Linked DNA regions of Diceros bicornis minor. The protein of the gene in region 1 purifies or fractionates together with the protein of each later gene. This does not show direct contact. Links are inferred from orthologs where the notes say so. Each region holds a gene or a part of one and is shown on either strand. Other genes may lie near its edges. The genes, in order: SMARCA4, EP300 and CHD7.

Region 1 (3,742 bases):
CCTGGCAGCCCCCAGCTACCAACAATGGAGTCAAGTTTTAAATCCAGGTCTTGGACGCCTGCATGAGGTCTCACCTTCTGCTCTATACTGCAAGTGACTCACCTTGGACTTGGAAAGAGTCAACGAGCTGATGCAGGTACAGGACGCACTCAGCAGACAATCGGTCTCTATCATTCCTTCAATAAAAAAATTTCAAGTATCTAGTATGTGGTGAATGGGGGCACTACGCTAGATGCTGGTATTCCCTAGTGATTAAAACTGACAACAGCTTTGCCATTGACATTGAAGGGAGAAAGACAGTCACTCAAGAGGGTACCCAAGAAATGTGAAGGAAGGGGAAAAAGGAGGCAGTGATCAAACAGGACGCAGTGAGTCAGCTGGGACCTGAAAAATGAGGAAGGGCAGGCCCGCGAGCAGCAGGGGTAGCGACAGTCCCAGGGGGCGCGGCTGTCCGGCTGCGGGGCTAAAGATGACGCTGCGGACACTTTCAAATCACAGAGAAGAGGTTTGGAGGCTCAGGGCCTTCACACTTGCAACAAGGCTCTCTCTCGCACTGCTTTCCTGTCTAGACTCAAACGTCTTCGTCGCAGCGAGGCTCCCCTGGCTGCCCCATTTAAACCTCCCACAACCCTCACGTCCCCCTCTCAACACAACGCATTTTCCTTCTTTCTCTGGCCTGCCTCCCCCACCGGATCGTGAGCGCCGCAGCGGCTGAGGTTTTTCTGATTGCGGCCGCAGCACCTGCGCCTGGGCCACAGCAGCAGGTCCATAAATATTTGCTAAGCTAATTAATGGCATCCCGGAGGCTGTGCAGAAAAGGCGGCCGCGGTCGGGCCCCGCCTGGTCCCGCCGAATAGGCCTCAACATCCCCCACCAAGGGTGAAAGCGGCTCCCCGGCCCGCCCTGGGCCGCCCGTGCTCCTCCCCGGCCCAGCCTGCCCGCCGCCTGCCCTCGCGCCCAGCTTCCAGTCCTCACTTCCGAGCCTCAGGGCCCCTCGGCCATCCCTTCACTGCAGACCCCGCTGCCACCCAGCCCCATCCCCCAACCTCCCACCGCCACCGCCGCCGCCACACCACCGCCGCCACACCACCGCCGCAGTGCCGCCCGCTCTGCGCATGCTCCGCGGCGTGGGGACGCCCGGCGTGCGAAGGCGGAACACCCGGTGCGCAGGCGCAGGAGCATCCGGGACAGAGTCGGGAGGCGCGTCGGGCGCGCTGGCTCTCTCGGGCCCCGCCCACCTCCCCCCAGCGCCGAGCAGACGCGCACGCGCGCTGGGAGCGGAAGGGCTGGCGGGCGCGCGCACGAGGCCGGGCGGGCGGCGGAAGCGGGAGAGGCAGTCTGTGGGGGGGGAGGGGAGCCGGCGAGTGCGCGCGCAGCGGGGGCGCGGGCGGCGTGGGGGGGCGGCCGAGGCGGGCGCGCGCGCGAGGCTTACCCTCGCTCGGCGGCGGCGGCTTCTTTGTTTCGTGAGGAGACGCGAGACGCCCACTCTGCCCCTGGCCCCGCGCGGAGGGGCGGGGGCGGCGCCGGGAAGGCGACGGCGCCGGCAGCTCCCGGTAAGGAAGGCGGGCCGCGGGGGGAGCGCGGCGCGGGGCTGGGAGGGCGGTTTGAATGGAGCCGGGGCGCCGAGGGGGGAGGGGGCCGCCGGCGCCCAGAGCGGGGCCGGGGTACGGCGGCGCCCGAGGGTCAAGAAGCCTGGCCGGCACCGCGCGCGCGGGGCAGGCCACAGTGCAGCGAGGCCGCGGCGGCTGCAGTATCCGCGGGCCGGGGGGTGGGGGCCCGGGCCGCGTGGAGGCCGCGCGCCCCCCGTGCGCGCTCTCGCCGGGGGCGCCGGACAAAGCTCGCGGCCCCCTCGACTCGCCGGCCAGGGCCCAGCCCCCAGTCGCCGTCTCCGCCGCGGCTGCAACAATAGCCCGGCATCGGGGCTTTTCTGGCTACGTTGTAACGGGTCGGACCCGAACGTTGCCTTTTTGGCGAGGCCGCGATCGGGGTTCAGTAGGGAAACGCCAGACGTGTCCAGCATCAACTGGACACGAGCATGAGCTGCCCTGAAATTTTATTCTACAAAAGCCACATATTGTAGATTTTCAAGAAAAGAGAAGTAACTCCCCCAATCCCTTGCAAGAAGTGACTTCAGAATGTCTGCTCTGAAGTGGGGGGTCGGCAGCAAGTGGGGGAGGGCCGGGGGAACTGTTTGCTGTTGAAAGCATTGTTTTTAGTTTGCATCCTTTTCCCTTCCTCCCAAATGATTTTCCAGATTAAGACTGTAATTTAAAACGTGGATCTCTCGGGAGAGTGTTTTGTGCCGGTCTTCAAGACACCAGTCTTGATTTTTCTCCCCGGTGACTCCCTGGGGAAAGTAGGGAATAGTTGGAAGATCCGCTTCCTTGGAATTGGAGACAAGTTTTCAGTTTGAATTGATACCGGATTCGAGTTTGCTTCCATCACTTGGCTGTGTGACTTTAGGCAAATAGCTTAATCTCTCTGAACCTCTTGGTTTCCTGAAATGGGGATAATGCCACCAGTGGAGTTGGTGAAGGCCTGTAAAATGGTTCCTGGCAAGTGGGAAGCACCGTTGTTACTGTCTGGTCAATCTCCGTCCGTTGCTCAGCAATTATTTGTTGAGTCCCTACTGGGTGTCAGATGGTTGGGGGTTGGAGCCCTGTGGAGCCTTTCCAGTCTTGTAGGGGAACAGGCGATAGATGTGGGAACAAGTCCCCTTGGCCTATCATCTAATCCTCACAATCCTCGCTGTGAGAGGGACACAGTGGACGCCCAGGGAAGTAGTGGAACCAGAGATCAGGGAGGCTGCCTGGAAGAGGGGACCTTTGCCCAGAACCAGGGAAGATGTTCCAGCTTGTATGTGGACCACCCTGGACCACTCATTGTTCCCCTCTGCTGCACTCACACGTCGCCCTGTCCTTTCCCATGTGGAAGTTCCCCCAGTTTGTAATTACACAGCCATTCCTCTCTGAGGGCCATCAGAGCAGGGGTCAGGTCTCCCTGGCCTCCCGCAGTGTACCCTGGGCCCGGCACATGGAAGGCCCTTAGCGAACGTTGGTGCCATGAGCGAGGAGGGTCCTTGGGAGCACTGAGTGAACATGGGTGTGAAGAGCTCCATGCAGGACTGGGGCAGTGGGTTGTAAGCAATGAACGTTAGTTGCTGTTGTGGGTTTTTAACTTTCCAGGCCATTGTTTGCCAAACCTCCTTCCCCCGGGAATGGGGAGTGGGGCGGTGGTTAGTAGGAGTGGCGGTGGGGGTCCTAGTTCTAGAATCACACCTCAGGTTTACACCCAGCTCTAAATCCTGGCTTGACCTCCAGCAAGACACTTACCAGTAGGTCCCGCCATTGGTGAAACAGGTGTGACCCCCCTCAAACTATTGTGAGGGTTGAATGAGATAATCTGGAAAGTGGCTTAACACACTGCAGCGCCTGACATATAGTGAGCACTCAGTTTGTTGGAGTTAATATTGCTCATTATATGTATATATGTATGTATATTTCTAATTTTTGTTAAAATCAGTGCATACACATGGCTGGCCTGGTGGCATAGTGGTTGTTTGTGTGCTCTGCCTCAGCGGCCCGGGGTTCACTGGTTCAGATCCCAGGTGTGAACCTACACACCGCTCATCAAGCCATGCTGTGGCAGCATCCCACATACAAAATAGAGGAAGATGGGCACAGATGTTAGCTCAGGGCCAATCTTCCTCACCAAAAAAAAAAAAAATGCATACATAATTATG
Region 2 (3,742 bases), on another chromosome or scaffold:
AACATCACACAGAATTCCTCTTTGTTGGCAACCTGAGTTGCTTCATTAAGATTTTCGCTCCTAGGTTCTTATTCTCATCATTCATTTAAAAAGCCAACAACAAAAACCAAAGTAAACAATAATAAGCAAACACTAACTAAGGAGCATGAGATTTGAAATATGTTAAAAAGCTTTTAACTATCTCCATAGATACTGGATTGGGGGTTTCCTTGGGGAACACCAACAACCTTGCCACCTCCTCAAGTTGCAGTTTACCCAAGGCCAAACACAGCGGAATCCTGTAATGTGTAGGAATGTGAAAGCATGCTGCGAGGCTCTCCTCTGCAAAACCGTGTTGTCACACACATTGCACTTTATTTATATTCAAGTGTTTTTCTCCATCGTTACATTTTTGCTTTTTTCCATCCTTACATTACCTTTAGCACATTACGTTTTCGCTTTTTTCCATAATTACATTATCTTTAAGGCGCTGTCTAAACGTGGTCTTTTATTAAGCTGGTCTGTTGCGGGTGGGTGAAAAGAAATACCCTAAAATGTCCTCAGGTCCCAGACGTGTTCAGAAAAATAATTCCAGGCTCCTTTGGTGAGAGGGCTGATAGAGGCAAGTGGACCCGTGGTGGGCAAGAAACGAATTTAGGTCTGGTGCTAAAACATCTTCCCACTGCTGTGGTTTTCGTTTTCTGATTATCAAAATAATATATGCTCACTGTCAAAAAATTGTAAAATTCAGAGAAAAGGGAAACAACTCGTAATCAGCGTGATTTTTGGACGTGAACCGTTCCCTTTCGGAAAACGATGGAGGAGAGAGGACGCACTGGGTCTCTGGCCCGGAACACGGGGCGGCGGGGTACCCTCTGCCGGCTGGATTCAACCGAGGTTCGCACGACCGGCCGCCCAAGGGCCCGGGAAGCAGGGCCATCCCCACGGCGCTCTCATTCGGCCACCTGCGCGGTGACCTGGCGCCTTCCCCGGCGTCGCCCCCGAGCTCCGTCACCCCGCGGTTCCCACCGGTCCCTACGCGGAGACCCAACCCAGGCACCTTCCCCCGTAAGTGTCCACCGACTGAAAATAGATGCAAGTCCACCCCCGACCCCCCCTTCAAATCCTCCCCTTTAAAGGGAGCCACCGGGTGACGCCGGGGGAGTTTGCGGAAGCGCCAACCGCGTTGGGGCCTTGGGCGGATCCCGTGATTGCAGCTAGCCCCGCCCCCGGGTCCTCTTCCCCCATTGTGTGAGCGGCTCGGGCTCAGGCCCCGCCCCCTCGCCGCCTCCCTCCGGAGGCCCAACCCCTCCCCTTCTTTTCACCCCCCCTTGGCTCATTTCCGGCCGCCGCTGCTACCGCTAGCCTGTAAGGAGGATTCGGCAGAGGGAAGAAACAACAGCCGCCATCTTGTTTGTGTGCTAGGCTGGGGGGGAGAGAGGGCGAGAGCGAGCGGGCCAGAGTGGGCAAGCGGGACGCCGGGCTGAGTGCGAACTGCGAGAGCGAGAGTGCGGAGGGGAGCCGGGCCGGAGAGAGGCGGCAGGGGCCGAGACAGTGGCAGGGGGCCCGGGGCGCACGGGCTGAGCGACCCCCAGCCCCCTCCCGTCCGCACACACCCCCACCGCGGCCTGGGAGCCGGGCCGGCGTCGACGCCTAGGGGGGACCATTACATAACCCCGCGCCCCGCGGCGCCTTCGCCTGCCGCCGAGGGCGGCCCCGAGCGGAGCCCCGGGGGGCGGGCGCTCCCGGCACCTGGCCGCCGGGGGTGGGGGCCGTAGCGGCGGCCGTATTTATTTATTTTCCGCGGGAGAGGAGGCCGCCTGCGCCGCCCGCCGGAGCGGGGCCTCCTCGGTGGGCTCGGCGTCGGCGCGGGCGGGCGGCGCTGCTCGGCCCGGCCCCCTCGGCCCTCTGGGCCGGCGAGCTCCGCGCCCGGCGTCCTCGCCGCGCCTCCGCCGCCCGCCGCGCGATGTGAGGCGGCGGCGCCAGCCTGGCTCTCGGCTCGGGCGAGCTCTGTGCGGTCATTAGGGGCCGGTGCGGCGGCGGCGCGGAGCGCGGCGGCAGGAGGAAGGCTCGGAGGGTGGGGGCGCAGGTCCGGGAGGGGGCACCGGGAGGAGGTGAGTGTCTCTCGTCGCCTCCTCCTCTCCCCCCTTTTCGCCCCCGCCTCCTTGTGGCGATGAGAAGGAGGAGGACAGCGCCGAGGAGGAAGAGGCTGATGGCGGCGGCGGAGCTCCGAGAGACCTCGGCTGGGCAGGGGCCGGCCGTGGCGGGCCGGGGACTGCGCCTCTAGAGCCGCGAGTTCTCGGGAATTCGCCGCAGCGGCCGCGCTCGGCGGATTTGTGTTCCTGTACCCTCCTCCGGGCCTGGGCCAGGCCCGGCCCCTCGCACTTGCCCCTACCTTTCTATCGAGTCCGCATCCCTCTTCGGCCAGCGCGACCCGGCGAAGAGAAAAAGGAACTTCCCCCACCCCCATCGGGGGCCGGCGGAGCCCCCCAAGCCCACCCCAAGGAGCGGGGCGGGGACCCCGGCCTGAAGAAGAGATTGCCCGAGGATTCTCGTTTTCCTCGCCTGTATCTCCGAAAGAATTAAAAATGGCCGAGAATGTGGTGGAACCGGGGCCGCCTTCAGCCAAGCGGCCTAAACTCTCATCTCCGGCCCTCTCGGCGTCGGCCAGCGATGGCACAGGTTAGTCTCGGGAGCCCTGGCCCTCCACATCCCCCTGAATCTTTGCTGCTCGGTGCACCTTTCTTCTTCCAGATTTTCTTCCTTTCTCTCTCTTCCTAGTTCTCTGCCTCTTGATTAATTTTAAAGGTGTTTGAATGAGCTGGTCAAAGACGTCCAGTAGCCCAACCATTTTCTTTGCTTCCTAATACATTGGTTGCAACACTATGTCATATCGATGTGTGTTCTGGAATTAGAGTTCTTGAGTGGTGCTGTAGAAATGGCCTTTATTGTTGCTCCCATGGAATTTAATTTTGGAAATGCCAGTGCATTTGCGTGTAAGGGTTTTTTATGCAACCCTACTTTTAATTTGTTGATAAATGAGGAATTGCCAGTCCTTTCTCTTTGATTGCACTTATTCTGTTTTCTCTACTTTCGACTCTTCCTTTTCAAGATTTTCTCTTCTTTGCACGAGATTTTCTGCTGAGTATGAGTGTGTAAAAAATCTTGGTTTTGTTTATTTGTGTGTGTGAGATGCAGGATTTCAGGTTTGACGTGAGTTTTAACGTCAAAACTGAAATTTGATTTGAATTATTTTACCTACCGTTCCTAGCTTTTTTTTCTTTTTTTTAATCTTCTTATTTGCTTTAAGAATCAATATGGAGCGCAGTTCATTTTACATCTTCCATTTCTTTGGTATGAGACCAAAATGTCTGAAACTCTGGGTTTTTAGGGTGGGAGAGAGCAGAGGCATTTTCTTTGCAGTTTGTTGTCACTTTCTTTGGGGGGGCGCAGGAAAAATATAATCGATTTTGTGGAGTTATGTACTTGGAAATCAAGATTAGAAGTTGAAAGAGCCCCAATCATGAACTGCAAGCATGAGCTGATCATACAAAAGTTTAAAATATGCATTAGGTTTCTATTTGTGTGTTTTTGTTTTTTTACGCTTTTAAACGTATTTGGAGATCAAGATTTCAGTTTAACAAGGCTCTACAAATTCTTTGCTTCACAAAGTTGTGGACTAGCCTTTTGTCAGGAGAAAGTCTGGGAGACTTCCTTCCATCGTCCTCTTCTTACAGTTAGTTTGGTGCTATTCTGATGGCCC
Region 3 (3,742 bases), on another chromosome or scaffold:
ACAAATATTTAGGAACTTATTACTAATATTAGGAAAATAAATATTTTAGTGATTAAATCTTAGATAATCAAACTTAGTTATTGAATAGTTGTAGCAGTTAAACAACAAAATAGTTTTGATTAATTTTTTGTTCAAATAGAAATATTGTGATTACGGTCTTAGCACTACAGGTGGTGAGTGGGGAGAAAACATAGTTTGCATAGTTTTGCAATTTTCTTAGTTTATTTTGGAGTCCAACAATAGCAAGTGGCTTTACTCTGTGTCTATTATAGGACTATCTTTGGTTGATATAATTTCCTTCCTTGATTTAAAAAGGAATGTAATCTTTAACCTAATAAAATCACCTTAAAGTGTACAACTATTGACAGCCTAAAAGATTTGTAATTGCTCAGTGTTTTGCACATAGAAGGTGCTTGATAAATGTTTGTAGATCTGTTTCCTAAAAGGAAAACTAGTAAAAAAAAATTTCTCCATGTTTAATATTCATTTTTGCACCGGGAAGAGAAATAGAATACGAGGCTTCGATATGTAAGGCTAGGAGACCATATAAAAGTGCCATTTTGGCCAAAGAATGATTAAAACATTCTAGTCCTGACACGTTTAATAATGGGCACACAACCTATTTCTTTGTTTCATAACCATTGCGCTCTCTCCCTTTTTTGGCATGGTAACACATTCAACACAATCAACGCCATCTAGTTAAACTTTCTGATTTACTAGTGGATCCCGCTGTCCCGTCAACCAGGAGGTAGGAAAAGCGATGTGGAGAGGCCGGAGAAAACTATTTGAAATGGAGTGTGTCCACTGGAGATGACTGCATGTGGGAAAATAATTCCAAGTTGAAGGCTAATTACAGAATAGACATCCAACCGCTCGAGCCGCCGCCGTCCGCGTCGCGTTGGGACCCCCTGGCTGTGGCCGAGAGGACGGCTGCCGGCGCGGAGCCGCCGCTTCCTGCCCCGGGGCGGCGCACCCCGACTCCGGGAAGGTGCGGCGCGGGAAACGTGGCACCGCGTCCAGCCCGCGCCCGGGGCGCTGCCGCGGCGCCCGAGCGCTCGGAGAGCCCCGCCAGAGAGGCGGCGCGGCCGCGCACCGGCCGGCCGGGAGAGCCGCCCGCAGCGCCGGCGCCCGCCCGGGACGGGAAGTGGCGCCCGGCCCGCCCTCCGCAGCCCGCGGCCCCGCGCCGCCCCCTCTCCCTCGGCCTCCGCCACCCCGGCCGAATTCTTGCATAAATTATGCCAGGCGCGCCTGACGTCAGGTGGCGGCGCGCGGGCGCGGGCGCGGCGCGGAGGGAGCCGGCGGCGGGCGCGCGCGGCCCCGCGGCCTCGGGCGCGCGCGGCGTGCCGGGCGCGCGCAGGCGCTGGCGTGCTGGGCCGCGGCGGCGGCGGCGGCGGCGGCAGCGGTGGCGGCGGCGGCGGCGGCGGCGGCGGCGGCGCGGGGGTTGAGCCGTGGTAGTGCGGCCGCGCTCGTGCTCGGGAACTATCGGATTAAACTTGAATCGAGTGAAATTACACAAAGGAGCGCCGCTGAGGGGGCGGCCCGGGGACCCGGAGACCCCGAAACTCGCCAGAGCCCCGTTCGCCCCCGGCCAAGTCCGCGCCCGTGGATTCAGCCCCCTGGCCGCGGCCGCCGAGCCAACTCCGGAGCCCGCTCTGCGTTTTGTTTTCCGCTCGGCGCAGGGCGGCGGAGGAGCCCGACCGACCGACCGGGTGAGCGCGAGAGTTCGCCGGCGCCTCCGGGAGGGGCGGCGGCGGCAGGAAATCGCTCCGGGCCGGGGCCGGGGCCGCGCGCGGAGTTGGGAGCGAGGAGTTGGGCGTGTGCGGGGCGAGGGGCGCGGGCGGGCGGGGGCCCGGCCGGCGCAGGAGCGCAGCGCCGCCCGTGCCGTGTCCCGGCGTCGCCGCCCGCGGGGCCCGAACCCGCGCCCCGAGCGCCGCCCGGCGCCCCAACTTTTGCCTGCGTCCGCGGGGCCGGCGGCGGCGGCGGGGGCGCGCGGTCCGGCCGAGGGTCACTTCCTCGCATGTAAATGGCTTTTTGTTGTGCTGCCGGCGTAGGGGGGGACGGGGGACAGGAGGGAGCGTGTCTGCGCGCGGGGGAGCGCGAGCGCGTTTCCTCCCGCCGGCGCCGAGCACGAGTTGCCGGCTCCCTTCGAAAGAAAAAGGAAGGAGGAAAAGTTGGGCTGCAACTCAAGTGCGAGTGGGCGATGGGCGCGCGGGCGCGGGGCGGCTGAGCGGCGGCGGCTCGGGGACGGCGGCGACCCCCGCCTCCCGCCCCCGCCCCCCGCTCCGGACCGACCACGCCGCGCTCGCCGGGAGCGGCGGCCGCACCGGCGCGAACAAAGTGCGTCCCTCCTGGCGCGGTGGCGCCGGCCCGCGCGGGGACGGCCGCCGAGCGAGGTGGGTCGGCGGCGGGGAAAGTGCGCGGGGCGCCGCGTGGGGCGGGGGCGGCGCGAACACGCGGCGCTGGGGGCGTCCCGAGCCCGGCCGGTGCCGGCTGCGGGCGCGGAGTTGCGAGCCCGGAGCCGGGGGCTCCCGGGGCTCCCCGGCGGCTCCAAGTGCGCGAGGAGGAGAAGAAAGGGAGCGGGGCCGGGGAGAGCGCGGGGAGGCGCGGCGAGGAGGGGACCCCACCTTGCCGAGCTGGCCGGCCAACGGCGGTGGCGGCTGCATAATAACGACTTTAACCCCCCGAAGGCAATTCGGCTCCCCCACCCCCGAGGCCGCCGGGGTCAGCGCCGCGGGGGGGTCACCAGGTGGCCCCCGAGGTGGCCCGGCTGCGCTCTGCCCCCGCAGAGATCCGCCGTTCGGAGCGTGAACGGCCGAGGTGGCTGGAGGCCAAGCGGTCAGCGGGGAGAGGAAGGAGGGCGGCGGGGGACGCGTTGTTTGTTTGGTTCGCACCGGGGACTGGGCTCGCCGGGGGTGCGGGGGCGCGGGCACCCTGTGGGCTGCGGTGCGGGGTGGCTGCGTCCGCGCGGGGCGAGCGCGGCCCGGGGGAGGGGGGCGGCGGGTCCCAGGCGAGGGGTGGGGGGGTCGGGAGGCTCCGGGGAAGGAGCCGCCGGCCCCGAGCAGCCATCATTACCGAGCCGCCTTTCTCCGGATGGCTCTGCCTCGAGGAGCCCCGCGCCGTGGGAGCGCACCCCGAACTCCGGGCCGGCCGCCCGCTTTGTGAGCGCCCCCGTGGAGCGGGCGGCGCGGGGAGTGCTCCTGCAGTGGGTCGGACGGTTTTCTCAGAGGGCACTTTTAGAGACTGTTCACGCCTCGATTTTAAACTAGTTTTTTTCCCAGTCTTCTGAACAGACAATGGACAAAAGAAAAGTAGCAACCCACATGGAGAGTTTCCTTTTGAATTGCTAGAATTAGATACACTATCCAGCTCTCCACTTGCTAAGTATACTTTTTAGTTTCCCATTGTGCGTTATCTAGCAGTCGATTTAAATAACTTATCTTGAAATGTGTCCATCCTCTGGGCTTGATTTCTGGGATATATTAAATATTTTAATCTGTTTTTAAAGGATTATGAGAAGGCCCTGATTTTTATTTTCTAAAAATACTAATTTAAGTCGTCTTTGCCGTGGGCAATACCTTTCAAAGAGGTTGAGTGTATTTCCCCCGAATTCTCTCCCCATAAGGGTAGGGGGGAGTACTCCCTATACGTAATAATCAAATAGAAAAAAGAAACTTCTCTTTATTTCCTTACAGATCTATTCTAACGATGACAAAAAAATCTGACTGACTGTGACCTTAGCAGC

The links.
Region 2: the proteins of SMARCA4 (region 1) and EP300 purify together in Homo sapiens (affinity purification with western blotting; 4 studies listed by BioGRID, with this or other methods). This does not show direct contact. The link is inferred for Diceros bicornis minor from reciprocal best matches to the Homo sapiens genes SMARCA4 and EP300.
Region 3: the proteins of SMARCA4 (region 1) and CHD7 purify together in Homo sapiens (affinity purification with mass spectrometry; 3 studies listed by BioGRID and IntAct, with this or other methods). This does not show direct contact. The link is inferred for Diceros bicornis minor from reciprocal best matches to the Homo sapiens genes SMARCA4 and CHD7.

The regions. Positions count from the first base shown.
Region 1 is NC_080769.1:8,399,601-8,403,342, reverse strand, and holds the start of SMARCA4 (transcription activator BRG1), read left to right. Parts: upstream 1-1,469; 5' UTR 1,470-1,553; intron 1,554-3,742. UniProt on the Homo sapiens protein: ATPase involved in transcriptional activation and repression of select genes by chromatin remodeling (alteration of DNA-nucleosome topology).
Region 2 is NC_080764.1:9,285,422-9,289,163, reverse strand, and holds the start of EP300 (histone acetyltransferase p300), read left to right. Parts: upstream 1-1,353; 5' UTR 1,354-2,567; coding exon 2,568-2,661; intron 2,662-3,742. UniProt on the Homo sapiens protein: Functions as a histone acetyltransferase and regulates transcription via chromatin remodeling. Acetylates all four core histones in nucleosomes. Histone acetylation gives an epigenetic tag for transcriptional activation.
Region 3 is NC_080772.1:13,785,247-13,788,988, forward strand, and holds the start of CHD7 (chromodomain-helicase-DNA-binding protein 7), read left to right. Parts: upstream 1-1,424; 5' UTR 1,425-1,709; intron 1,710-1,976; exon of another isoform or gene 1,977-2,019; intron 2,020-2,112; exon of another isoform or gene 2,113-2,183; coding exon of another isoform or gene 2,184-3,031; intron 3,032-3,072; coding exon of another isoform or gene 3,073-3,197; intron 3,198-3,742. Other genes in the region: basic proline-rich protein-like, read right to left, coding at 2,184-3,031, 3,073-3,197. UniProt on the Homo sapiens protein: ATP-dependent chromatin-remodeling factor, slides nucleosomes along DNA; nucleosome sliding requires ATP. Probable transcription regulator. May be involved in the in 45S precursor rRNA production.